Drosophila melanogaster: one gene and its partner. The protein of the gene in region 1 purifies or fractionates together with the protein of each later gene. This does not show direct contact. Each region holds a gene or a part of one and is shown on either strand. Other genes may lie near its edges.

Region 1 (7,387 bases):
AAACTTCTCCATCCACTACGATATCCTCGGAGCTGAGGCCGTGGTCGAAGGGCACGTACATGGGCATGCGGATGCGCATGGTGTCCAGAGCGTAGGTGGTGCAAACTGAAATCATGGCCGCCTGGGTGTAGGAAGTAGGCACCTTTTCCCTGAACAGGGTAAGCAAACCCATCAGAAACCGACATTCTGGCGGGGCTTTCTCCAGTCCAATCAGCCTGAAATTGGTTCTCAGAGCAGGAGCCAGGGCCACGCCCGTATAGTAGTTCCATTTGGGATCGTAGATCTGGACGAAGATGGGCACTAAGCTCTGAACTTCGGCAGACACAACGGCGACGGCGCTCAGGAAGAAGTTGAACTCCGAGGTGGACCTCATGTAGTTCAGAGTTGGATTCACGGGGTGCAGGACAATGAACCTCCTTAGCCCGTAGATCCTGGCCAGAATGTGCAGCTCCTGTGAGCTTCTTATTGGAGGACCAAAGCTATTCCCAGTGGACATGAGATCATGGTGGCAACTGGTGCGTTGCAGGCAGGTGATCTCCTTCGCCTCCGCTCTGACGAGTTCCTCATCCTCCAGTATGGCCTGGTGATACTCCACCTCAATGCCATTCCTCAACATGTCCAGCTTCTCCCGCTCCACCTTCCAATTGCAGCTGAAGATTTCTTCGGATTTAAGATTTCTGGTCTCGGAATCCGACGATACGTCCCATTTTTGAAGGATTTCGCCCAGCTGGGCGTTGAACACCTCCCAGTCGGAATCCGCACTGAAGTTCTCCCGGTAAAACTCGTTATCGTCGATTTCTTCGGCCATTTTACAGGAATTTAAAGGCGTAAATAAACAAAGGACAACAAACTAAAATCGTAGACAACAATGGACAGCGTTGCCAGAGCGTTGTGATCGGCCATATCAGCTGATGGTTAGGGCTGCCATCGGAAAGAGTGTTGGAAAGGAACCAAATTTTTGTTATTTATTTAAACTTAAAAATAACTTAAGGACCACCTATTTATATAAGTAGCTTGAAATTGGTCTTTTAAGTTGGCAAGTGCGCTCCAGTAATTCATTAATTATTTTGAACTAACGGAGCTTAGTATTTTTCTAAACGGACCGCCGAATTTGAAACTTTTCTTGTCATCCATCCCTGCTTAACATCAAAAGATCTGGCAACTCACGACTCGCAACCAAACAGCTTTTTGTTTACCAAATTTTTAATTTTGTCTTTGCGAAGGGAAATTTAATTACATACGCAATGTTTGCGGCTAAGCGAGTAAGGGCCCGTGCGAAGAACTTCACCATTGAGGAGGAGGAGATCCTGGAGAACCTGATCCTGGCGCATCGCGACGTGATCCGCAACAAGCAGAAGGATCCGGCCATTTGGAGGAAGAAATCGGAGGCGTGGAAGCAAATTGAGGCGGACTTCGCCATTCAGACCGGAATAGAGCGTTCTTGGCAGGCTCTGCGAGAGAAGTACACCAACAACCTGCGGATGATGCGAAAGAACGGAACACTGAGTGACGAGGAGGCAAAGACTGACAATGCATCAGATTCGGTGCAGAATTTGTCCATTTCGGGAGTTTCTTCGCTGGCTGCAGCTGCTGATAATGAAGAAAGTGAGTAAAGGATGGCAGGATCAAAAGCATGAACGTGGTAGTTGACAAGATGTACCTTAATAGTCTTACCATGATAGGTTCTTCTACAGCAATATTTCAGTGCTTTATCTCTAATAAACTCTAAAAACATCTTGCAGGTAGTACCTATTTCGAATCGGAATTGAACCGAAAAAGCCTCAGAAGCGCCTCTACCGAAGTCAAGCTCGTGCCGAATAACTCAAGCTACTCAGTTGACAGACCAAACTACTCAGCTCTGAATGTAAATGAAGAGTCAGTCGATGTGAGCTCAGAAGAGGATGCCACGAATACCCTGAAGGATGAAAAAGTCGTTCTGATCAGGCTGCAACAGGAGTACTATCGATGCGAAAACGCCCGGGCAGCCGAGAAGCACAAGCTTGAGATGGAGAAGCAGAAATACGAGCTGGAGCAGCGAAAGGTGGAGCTGCGCAATATGCGCCTGAAAAACGAACTTCTCGAAGCGGAAATACTCGAAAAACGACGCAAAGTCGCGCAAAGCAAGGCTTCATCCTAAGGAATTGCTAGCTAGGATAAGTTAATTTATTCTTGTCTTCATAATGTCAGTGCTCTTCAGTAATTACTATAGTCCTAGTTAAACAAAAGATTATCGAAAGAAACTCATGTACACTCCTTGATTTTTGAAACCAGAAGCAAACAATTACATCTTCAAAAGATTTAATAATGTCTGTCAAACTTCTAAAGATTCGTCTACATTTTAACAAGTAAGCTGGATTTAGGCTGCTGGATTTAAGCCCTTCACATTTATTCCTCCTCAGTTCGAATGAATTGCTCGTTTATGCTCGGTCGTTCTGTTTGGTTGTATTTATTAATTTACATCGATCCATTCACTATGCAGTTGGGGGCTTAAACGATAACAGCTCCTCTAGCCGACCACGAGAAGACCCTCGTTGGGGAACTCGTGGGTGGGCACCTCCAAGTTGAGGGGCGCGGGTCCCTTGCGGATCCTTCCGGAGGCGTCGTAGTGGGAGCCGTGGCAGGGGCAGTAGTAGCCACCCCAGTCGCCGGCGTTCGCGATGGGCACACAGCCCAGATGCGTGCACACTCCGATGACCACCAGCCACTCGGGCTTGATCACACGTTGCTAAAGAGGAAATGGGTAACAGCATTAGCGAATCGACCCACTCCACGGTACCTACATCATCAGCCTCCGGATCGCGCAGCGTGGATGTGGGCACATTTCGCTCGGTCTCGATTTCCGCGGCCGTGCGGTGGCGGATGAACAGGGGCTTTCCGCGCCACTTGAAAGTAACCGACTTGCCCTCCGGGATGTCGGACAGCTTGATCTCGATCTTGGCCATGGCCAGCACTTCGGCGGAGGCGCTCATCGATCCGATGAAGGTGTTAACCAGGCCCTTGGCCGCATAGGCACCGCCCACGGCTCCGGCGCCGACCATCAAGTAGGAGAAGGCCTTGCGCTCCTCGGCGGTGTCGTTGCGACGACGACTGTCCTTCACGGACTCCCGGCGGTATGCCGAGAAGTCTGGCACCTGCAGGTCGGTGTGTGCCTGGCGATTGGCTGAAAGGAAGGAGGGAATCATTAATTATCCATTGATCGAAGTGCAGAGGTTCTATAGATCCTTGTGCTTGTTTGCAGAGCAGTGTTGCTGATATAATCATAAATTTTTTGTGTGGTGGGCAGTGAAGAGTGTAAACAACATTGTTTTGGGGTTGTCAAGGCTGAAGGTATATTTCTTATAGCCGACACAGGGCATCTTGGGCCAACTTGGCATAACTTGGCGTCCCTTGCAGACAGAGGTGCCAAACTTCGCATGATGATATTCCTGGTCCCAGAGGTAGTAAATCCCACGTTTGGCAGAAATCGATTGAGTATATCCCACAGATCCGATGTAAATTGCAGGTGTGCTTGTGAGCCAGTGATTGTTGTTATTGTACGAGGTTATGTTGAAATTACGTAAGGAAATTTGACAAATCGCCTTAAAGCCGAGTGCAAATCACGTCCTGGTGGCATTTCCAAGCTTTTATTCAACTTTTTCCGCCTATTTCCCGATCCATTCATTATGTAATGGCTGTGTTTTCAGCTGGCAGCTCGATGAATTCGCCTCGCAGAGCCTTACCCATCGAGTTGACGGCCACGCCGCTCGCCTTCAATCCCGTGGAGAGGACCTGGGCTCCGCCTCTGACGTAAGCACGCGACACGGCGTTCATCATTTTGTATGTTTCCCTATCAAATTAAATGATCACGAAAATTTCGACGTTTGTCGTTTTCGTCTGAGAACCAGTGTGACCGCACTCAAGTGGGTGAGAAATACCAGGTAACCTGCAAAAAATACCACAATATACTAGTATATATTAGTGTATAGTGCTGCCAGCTATTTGCATTCTCAGAGTTGCCACTACGATTGCTCACTGTCAGGAGCTGGCCGCTATTACAGCCCAGTAACGGTTTTTTAAATAGGTGAATAGAATTTCAAATAATTTTTGGAACAAATGATATTGTAGCTCGTTAAACCACCCCGCAGTGCATAAAAGCTTTTACTTTAATTTAAATTGATATGCATTTCATGTTGAAATGATAATCCTGCGTCGAATTAAATTGCATTTGTTTCACCTTGCCGTTCAATCCTTCATCCCCTTTCGTTTTCCTTCGAAAGGTGAAAAGGAGGCTCAGTTTCCACCCTTCGACCTTTTCATTCAAGTGAAAACTACCTTTCTTTTCAATTGGAAACTGCAGTGGCATAGATTTAGCCCGGATGAAAAGGGGTTTCCATGGCAAACCGGTTGGTCAACGCACCACCGAGTGGAGAACAAAAGACGAGGTCCAACCACCGGACTTTCACTATCCAGTTTTTCCACTGCACTTTTCCATTTTCCCCCGGGCAGCATCATTATGATGTCATTGATTGGACTTTGCTGGATGTTGCCTATTTTCTTCGGGGTAGTTTCTCTCAGCTTAATTAATAAGCGTAGCTCCTGAATTGGAGATATGCCTCGGCTGATCTCATCCAACGCATAAAATGGCAATAAAAACTGCATAAAAAACAGCCGATGTAGGGGAATTTGTTATGCGCATAAAAGTTTGCCGCCCGAAATTTGGCCAAACTTTAAAACCAAAAAAGCGGCCGTGGCAGCGGGGAAAACTCTCCCGCAGCCGGCTGAAATGTAATTCCTCTGGCGCCAGTCCTGTGATTATCGAAAGTAGTTCTTTTTGATGTCGAAACTTTGCTGCCACCCACTCCCCTCCTCCTTTCACTGGCTAGGTGGCAAGTGAAAGTGGGCCCGAAAGTGCTCCACTCCTCGCTCCGCTGCGATGTGTTCATCTATTTCCCAGCCGGAGGAGGAAAATCTGCGCACATAACGGCGCCTCTATGTACTTGGCCCAAAACACGCACACATACAAAATGGGTTCCTACGGAAAAGTGCGTAAAATTTGGCCAAAAACAAACTTCATAATGTAGTTGGGATATGAACAAGGGGATACTCTACATTTACACAAAATAACAGACGTTTTTTTGTGCGGAAATGAGATTTATTTATTTATTATGCATTTTAATATCTAGGACACAAACAGTAACCACTTGTTATGTTCCAATATTTGACATATCAATTTCTGACAGTGTAGAGGCCTGAAAAGTTGAAACTATGCCGCGTAGGCGACGTGGCAATGGCATCTGCCCTTTCCCTGGATTTTGCGCATCCACCCACCGAATTTTCCAGCCACCACAACGCCTCCAACTTCAAAACTCGACCGCATCCCCACTCAGACTTAACTCTTGTCAAGCTTCGACTGCGTTACACTTTTCAGCAACTTTTACATGGGAAACTGGCGCCAACTACAACAGCAGCAGTAGCAACAACAAAGTTTCAACCCTGCCCCAGGGCAGCCCCCCCTTACCCCCCTTACCACTCCCTGCCACGCTTCTTGCCGCACACTCCACCCCCTTTTCAACCATTTCTGTGCGGCGTGTGCAGCGTTGCGGCTGCGGCAGCAACAACATCAGCACAGCAGTAGCAAGAGCCGAAATACACTCGAAAAAGTATTGTTTAGCTTTATAATTGAGATATTTACATTTCCTAAAGTTTAGCTTAGTTATTATTAACTTTTAAGCTATACCCTATTTGGGAATTATGAATGGTGTGTGTCATATATTGTTTATTTTCAAATACTTTTAGCCGTGTAGGCGACGACATGGCCTGCTTATCGCAACATCAGCCAAGCATAAAGCTGAGCCCACCCAGAGTGGGTCGCCACCCCTTGGAAAAGTTGAAAGTGGAAAATTGTGCGTGGCAGGCAAAAGTTTCTGAGGTTCCCTGGCTGACTGACAGATGCGGAGGCGCCGCCACGCCCACTGCTATCCTGATATCCTGCTATACTGCTATCCAGCCATGCCATACCCCTTCCCTGCGCTGACTTTAACCATTTACAAAAACGAAAATTAAATGAACAGAATCATCTGTGCAGCATCAGCGAGGCGAAGGAGCCGCCAGGAGCTCTGGAAATTGCGGAGGACTGCCGCATGTGCAGCGGTGCTTGGATCCGAGAATTTGGCACAGCTGGCGGTCATTTATGGGCCCATCTTGCCGACTTCCTTGCCCGCATCCTCGCCGGCCTGGTTTTGCATTTGAAATGATTACTTTCGAGCCTACGGCTTCCGTTTCTCGGACAAAAGAAGAGGCTCAAGTCGCCCATTTTTGGCCAGTCGGATTAGGTGACCATGACAATGGCCAGTGCTTTGTTTTCATATTTTATTATTGGCCGAAGGAAATTGCTCTCTGGCGTGGGGGTAATGATCCTTCATCGGATATTTTGAGCAATCCATCACCTTTCTTGGTAGATGGAAAGGTATTTTCATATTTAAATGGCATTGGTATTTGCCCAATAGATTATTGCCTATGTTTTTAGTTAAATTTTTATAAATGGTATAGCATTTATAGGAGGAGTTCATTAGTAATAATTTTAAACCGATTTCTTTGAATTAATTTAACGCTATAAGCTTATATCCGTATCCACTTCCGATCCCTGCCCATATGGCCAGTCCCATCTATATCCTTTTTATCTTCTTCTCGGCTTGAAAGTTTGTCAACACTTCTCGCGCTGCCGCTGGCTAAGTAGAAAGACCAAAGTTCCGAAGGCAGGATACGTTTTTATTGTGGGTTTAAGCGCGAGTGAAACCTGCCCTAAATTCGACCAAGCGGCTTAAATGAACAAAAAAAAACAAGGAAACGCGAGGAGCAGCGGGCAAAGTCGTGTGGCACGCGCAGCAGGAAGCATCCTGGAGGAAAGGCAGGGGAATAAAAAGGAAACGACTACGTTGCGTTTTCCCCAACCGACGGAGGACGCCGTTCCTCTTGCGAAGGCGCAGCACGCATAAATCTACGGGCCCAAATTACATTATTTTGTCATTTTCCTTGGGCGGGCAGGCGGCTCCCTCGGCGTTTTGCTCGACCCTCGATTGCAGTGTCCTGTTCTGGTGTCCTGCCTGCCTGCCTGCCTGCCATCGCCCGCCAGGCACATAAAACTCTGTCAAAAATAAACTTTCAAGAAACGCGCACAGCAACAACAAAATGCAAAAGCTCTGGGGCAAAAGTTTTTCCAAAACAAAAAAGCCAAGGAAGCCGCCAAGTACATTATATGCAAGCAGCAAGTGGGGGCTGCCTTTATAGATGGATGGCGGTGGTGGTACTGTCCCTCAACTTTTTCGCCTTCGGTGTCGGCGGAAAGTGAAAGTAAGTAAGTAAATGCACGACGCCGACTGCGCTGCTAGCCAGCAACACCCCCCCCCCC
Region 2 (5,202 bases), on another chromosome or scaffold:
TCAAGAACCAAGTCGGTTTCCTCACCGCCAAGCTGGAGCGCCGGAACGCCATCATCTCCAGGTACGAAGCCCAGCAGGAGGAAATGATAAGTATCATGGCAAGTCTCCAGAAGAAGAAAGTTAAAAAAACGCGCCATCAGAAGATTCACAACAACCATGACGATAAAGCTGATGTCAGATCGATCCCTTCCGAACAGCTACCAATGCCCAAGCCGAGTGATCAAATAAAGCATCGCAAGAAACGGAAATTTGGCGAAGGCGATAAGGAAGATTCCAGCTCGGCGGGCTCTGATAAGCCACCAAGTTTTGAGGCGAATCCCAGGTCTTCAAAAATTCGATCCCATAACTTGGACTGCCTCTCCTCTGCGCTGAAAAATAAGTTAAGTAACCAGCAACAGTCAACTGTCGAGGGATGATCTGATTTCGTACCCATTATCTGATGGATATTCAAATTTATGGTTTTTAGATAAGCTTTTTACAAAATTTCTTCTGTAACCGAATATCTCTGTAAAAATTGTTATGTACATACATATATAGATCTCTTATGAACAGTAAATGATTAAACTAACCAAACGGAACTTCAGTCAGCACTTCGTTTTCGACGGGCGTCGGAGTTCCTGGAACTCCCGATTTACAAGTTCATTGACAAGCTGCTGGATTATCCATTCAGCAGTATGGAATCGGGTTAATGATCCGGCTTAATGGATGGCTTTATTTTGATTTATTTTGTGTGGTAAGCAATAGCTTAACTGCATTTGTTGGGAAAGTTTGAATGATCCGATGATGTAATTAATACATATGAATATGTATTAATCAATCAATTATTATTGTTTAATGCGTAAGTTGTGCTTGTAATAATGGTCATTTATTCACGGAAATTTCTAAGAAATGCATATGTTCTCTGATTATTATAAACTAATAATAAACTACTAAAGATGTAACTTTTTTGTTTATATTAGTAAGCTGTGAAGTTAGGTAGATTTTCAGGCTATATGAAGGATTAGACAGTTGCAGGACTATCAGTTGATGTTTAAGAATATTTATGGGATCCTTCATGTTCGTATAAGCAACACTAATCAGAAGAATAGGTAGACTTGTCTCAGTGGCTTATCCGAGGGCTTAAAGGTAGTGCTGCTATTTCTAGCCCTGCAATCAAGTCACGTTCGCTGGGTGTTCTAATGCAATATTTTAGCATAAGAGCACGTACCGCAGTATTGCATAAATTCTGAAAGTGCCGGGCAATGAGTCAGTACGGGATTGCAGAATGGAGCCAGCTGAAGTCGGGCGTCTATTGAATTCTAATGCTGCACCAGGAAGTGCGTGCAGACATTGGGCAATCAATCGCCGGTCAATTGGAATCGTTTGTGGATAGCAATTGAGTGTGATTGGATATGGCTTCTACTCCGGCAATTGGGGCAAAAGTTCAACAGTTTTTGGATGAGAATGCCTGTTCCAAGTAGGACTTACTTCGAGTATTCGAATAACCTATCTTATCGCAAGACAGCTTGCCAAGAATCACAGTCGCCTGATGATGAAATTAACAAATTCTGGGCTCTATTTTTTTCTTCTTTTTTTTTGCACGATCCGTGGAAGTCTCGGGGGCAGTCAAACCAGTTCACCCGGCCTTCGAAAACAATTATATTTTTGGGGTTGGGCGTGTTGTTGTGCAAACACCTACGAAATAACACGATGACCCTGAGACCGAAAAAAGCACGAGTACGTTCTAGCACCCAAAATATTACACATATAATGTACGTGACGTCACTGCCTCGAGGAGTGCTCCAAAAACCATAGAACTGAAACAAGATGCAAGGTGGCTTGTGGTAGTTATTATTAATCCTTAGCGTACATTACATTATGAGATATATTAAACACTAAACTGGATCCATCTACGTGACAGAAAAGCTGCGAAAATTGTTTTTCAGCAGCATGACCACGAAGAAAATGCCCACGGCAATCGACAAAAGCTGCACGTTGACCACCTTTGAGTCCACCAGGGCCTGTAGCATGTTGTGGATACTTTCGCTGCGCACTTCGTTACCGCAGCAGTCCATTAATGCACTAATATCGGATCAATAACCAATTAGAACGCCAATATTTTGCTTGCAAACAGCTGTGCGGTGGCTAGAGGTGGGGCTATTTACTTTTCTCACTCATCGATTGTTTCGGGTGACTTTCGATGATTGATTCTCTGCAACTCTAGCGGGTGACTATCAATGCTAAGACCGTTACCGAATATTAAAAACAAGTAAAATTTTTATTTTATTATTAAAACGTAATATATTGCCTCCATGTCGTGTTTTTTCTTTGAAATTCTCATCATATGAATTTTTTGTTATTTTATTTTGAGACATTGCAGGGCGAGATAGCTTGGACTCAAACCAAGACTGGGGAACAGCTGATGCAGCTGCTCATCCAGAAAAACAAATTCTCTCTAGAATTGTTTAGCAAACAGAGCAATAAAACTGATAAAATAGAACATAAAATTATCCCATGTGTAACGTATGAGTACAAAGCCTTTGGTGTTTAGCCTTCCAGCAACCGAAACACACAACTCTCTTGAACTGTGGGTTTAGTTTTATTAATTAGTTTAACATAACTATCTGCTAGTTGGGACGCTTATTCGTCGTTCGCGTAGTCAGCGGGGTTCTTGCGCAGCAGGGCGGTGTGCTTGCGTTCGGTCAGATCGTAGATCAGGTATCCCACGATGAAGGCTGAAAAATTGGGTATTAGAATACGATTCGACGGGAATCCTGAGCGATTTACTTACGGGGAGTAACGATGAAGACGTTGGAGCGGAAGCGACGCACCATGTTGGGCAGTCCCTTGCTGATCGCTCCAGCGAAGGCGCGCTGCTCGAAGGGCGACAGCTTGTAGGTGACGATGCCGTGCACCTTGGCCAAGTTGCCAAAATGCTGGCCATTCAGGATCGAGGATAGACGCATGGTTGTGGGGCTGCGGATGGGGAAAGCTTTGATTAGCAACCGCAGAGGAAGTGCACCAGGATTTGTATGAAGACACAGATCGTTATTATAAACATTATGGCCTAGGTGGTGCTCCTATATTTGCTGCACCCGGAGGTTATGTAATTTTCGCACTGCTCCGCGGATGAAGGCGGCCGAGTACGTCTAACACTGGGCGCGATCTCTGCACTTTTGGCAGCCCATAATTGTGCATATTTTTAGAGCCAGCACCTGCCATTGTACCGATTATGATGCCAAATTTTTACCTTGAAATTCGACTTTTACGCTGCAATTTCCTCTCGACTCGTCTCAACCAGTGTGACCGTGGACGGGCCGCTTGAACATACCAAGCAGTTAGGCTTTATTTTTGAAAAATGTCCTAAAAGTGCCGCTTTTTAAGATTGATGTCTTGGACAGAAGCTAAGTGCAGGCCACCACCAGAATGTGTAACTTTGTAGACTTTCAGCGTGGACTTGAACCTAATTTGTGTGGATAGCGGATCTTTAAACTATTAGTGGATTCTTATTAAAATATAACAATAAAATAATGTAAAACATAATTGCTTACCTTTGCCGTAATAAAATATGTGAGCGGCTTAAAAACTTAAATTTCGTGAACGAAAAGATTATATTTATTCAAATTAATAGACAGAATAGACACATGGAATTGTAAAATCGAGGGCTACTTATCTTTTTAACTTCATTTTCTGTGATTAGGCATACAAAGTATTCAAACTTGCCCACTAAAGATGGCACATTCATCTCAATATATGTAAAATATCATATAAATAATTTTATTGTATTCAAAATGCATTAGATTAAAATGAGTTGTCAAGCAAGAATACTTTTCCTGCCATTATTAGCCTTTTATACGAATGTTGAGATATAGTTTATACCTTTATTAATGATTAACATTTATACAGCTATGAGATGATGCATCTTACACTTTAACAATTATTTGCGCGATCAGGACTACGCAAATAGACAAGATTTCACATAAACGGCGGCATCTGCCTACATCCGCTTACAAAACATAGACGAAGGTCCAATACAGAGCGTTGAAGGCGAGGAACATGGCCGGAAAAAGAAATCGCGACCGCCGGTCTATCCACATGGCGATCTCCTGCGGTGTCATGGTGGTAAAGGTGGGCGGCGTGTCCTTTTTATCCTTGTCCACATCCACGATATGATCGTTGTTCGTACGCGCACTGCAGATAGACACTGTATCTGCCTCGGCGCACTCCGTTCTTATGATGGGTAAATTGGGCTAAGGACATGAGAAATGTTAAAATACAGAAAGCTCATGAAAGACATCGATCTGGAGTACTTACATGCACTGTCAAATAGTTGTTGAAGCCCTGATTCACAGTGCCATTGCCATTGCGCACGCTCTCCGTGCTGGAAACAATGTTGTCCAAACTGGAACACGATCTAGCCCTGGACTCGTTGCTCAAACTTCCGCCAATTTGACGGCGGGCCGGTCGTGGTGTCAATGTGGATTTTATGATGTACTTGCTGTTGACCTTCTTCAGCTCAATGTTCTCCTTGCGGCGCCAAATGGTGTTGACAAAGGCAAACTCCACCAGGCTGCCGAAGATGAAGAAGGTGCAGCCCAGGAACCACACCTCCGACACCTTTATGTAGCTCACCTTGGGCAGGTTCTTGCTCTGCGATGAGGAAAGCGTGATGAACGACAACATGGTGCTGGTTCCTAAGAGCATTGGATATTAGTTACAAGTGAGTCATATCATAATCATTTCGAGTTACTAAATTCTTTCTAAGATGTTGTAATTATTCCTTTAATTTAAGCAATCATTTATTCTATGACTCAACATGACGTATGCGCAATGTTCTAAATGAATATAACACATACGCACTGTGTTGCAGGTCAACAAATTAATTATGGATTTCGAATACGAAATGTTGCTTAAGTTAATAGTATTTAAATGTAATTACCCAGCATAATCCTTGGAGGAGATGCGTCCGCCTGAAGCCAGAAGGACACCCAAGAGATGGCCACGATCATCATGGAGGGCAGGTAATAGTCGAGCAAATAGAAGCCAATTTCTCGCTTCAGATTGACCGTAAAGCTCAGCGAACTATAGTTACCAGCTGCAAGGAAACAGTATTAAGAAATATTCCTCCAACAAACACCTCGTATGCTAACCAAAAGCTCCATGCCGCAGATTGTCCCCATCCGACTGCACAATCGTAGTGTTGTGCCAGAACTGGGCCATATT

Evidence for each region. Proteins that work in one complex are often made in the same cells at the same time.
Region 2: the proteins of RFeSP (region 1) and UQCR-Q fractionate together in Drosophila melanogaster (co-fractionation; one study listed by BioGRID). This does not show direct contact.

The regions. Positions count from the first base shown.
Region 1 is NT_033779.5:1,610,264-1,617,650, forward strand, and holds RFeSP (rieske iron-sulfur protein), read right to left. Parts: upstream 3,898-7,387; 5' UTR 3,814-3,897; coding exon 3,720-3,813; intron 3,161-3,719; coding exon 2,781-3,160; intron 2,726-2,780; coding exon 2,507-2,725; 3' UTR 2,166-2,506; downstream 1-2,165. Other genes in the region: Rab3GAP1 (RAB3 GTPase activating protein subunit 1), read right to left, coding at 1-808; CG14352 (uncharacterized protein), read left to right, coding at 1,245-1,605, 1,743-2,137.
Region 2 is NT_037436.4:17,473,163-17,478,364, reverse strand, and holds UQCR-Q (Ubiquinol-cytochrome c reductase ubiquinone-binding protein), read right to left. Parts: upstream 3,317-5,202; 5' UTR 3,230-3,316; intron 3,146-3,229; exon of another isoform or gene 3,041-3,145; coding exon of another isoform or gene 2,978-3,040; exon of another isoform or gene 2,956-2,977; 5' UTR 2,946-2,955; coding exon 2,771-2,945; intron 2,715-2,770; coding exon 2,620-2,714; 3' UTR 2,241-2,619; downstream 1-2,240. Other genes in the region: CG13733 (uncharacterized protein), read left to right, coding at 1-416; CG34250 (uncharacterized protein), read right to left, coding at 1,739-1,796, 1,894-2,054; CG46525 (uncharacterized protein), read right to left, coding at 2,978-3,040; SecCl (secretory chloride channel), read right to left, coding at 3,987-4,229, 4,294-4,673, 4,919-5,074, 5,130-5,202.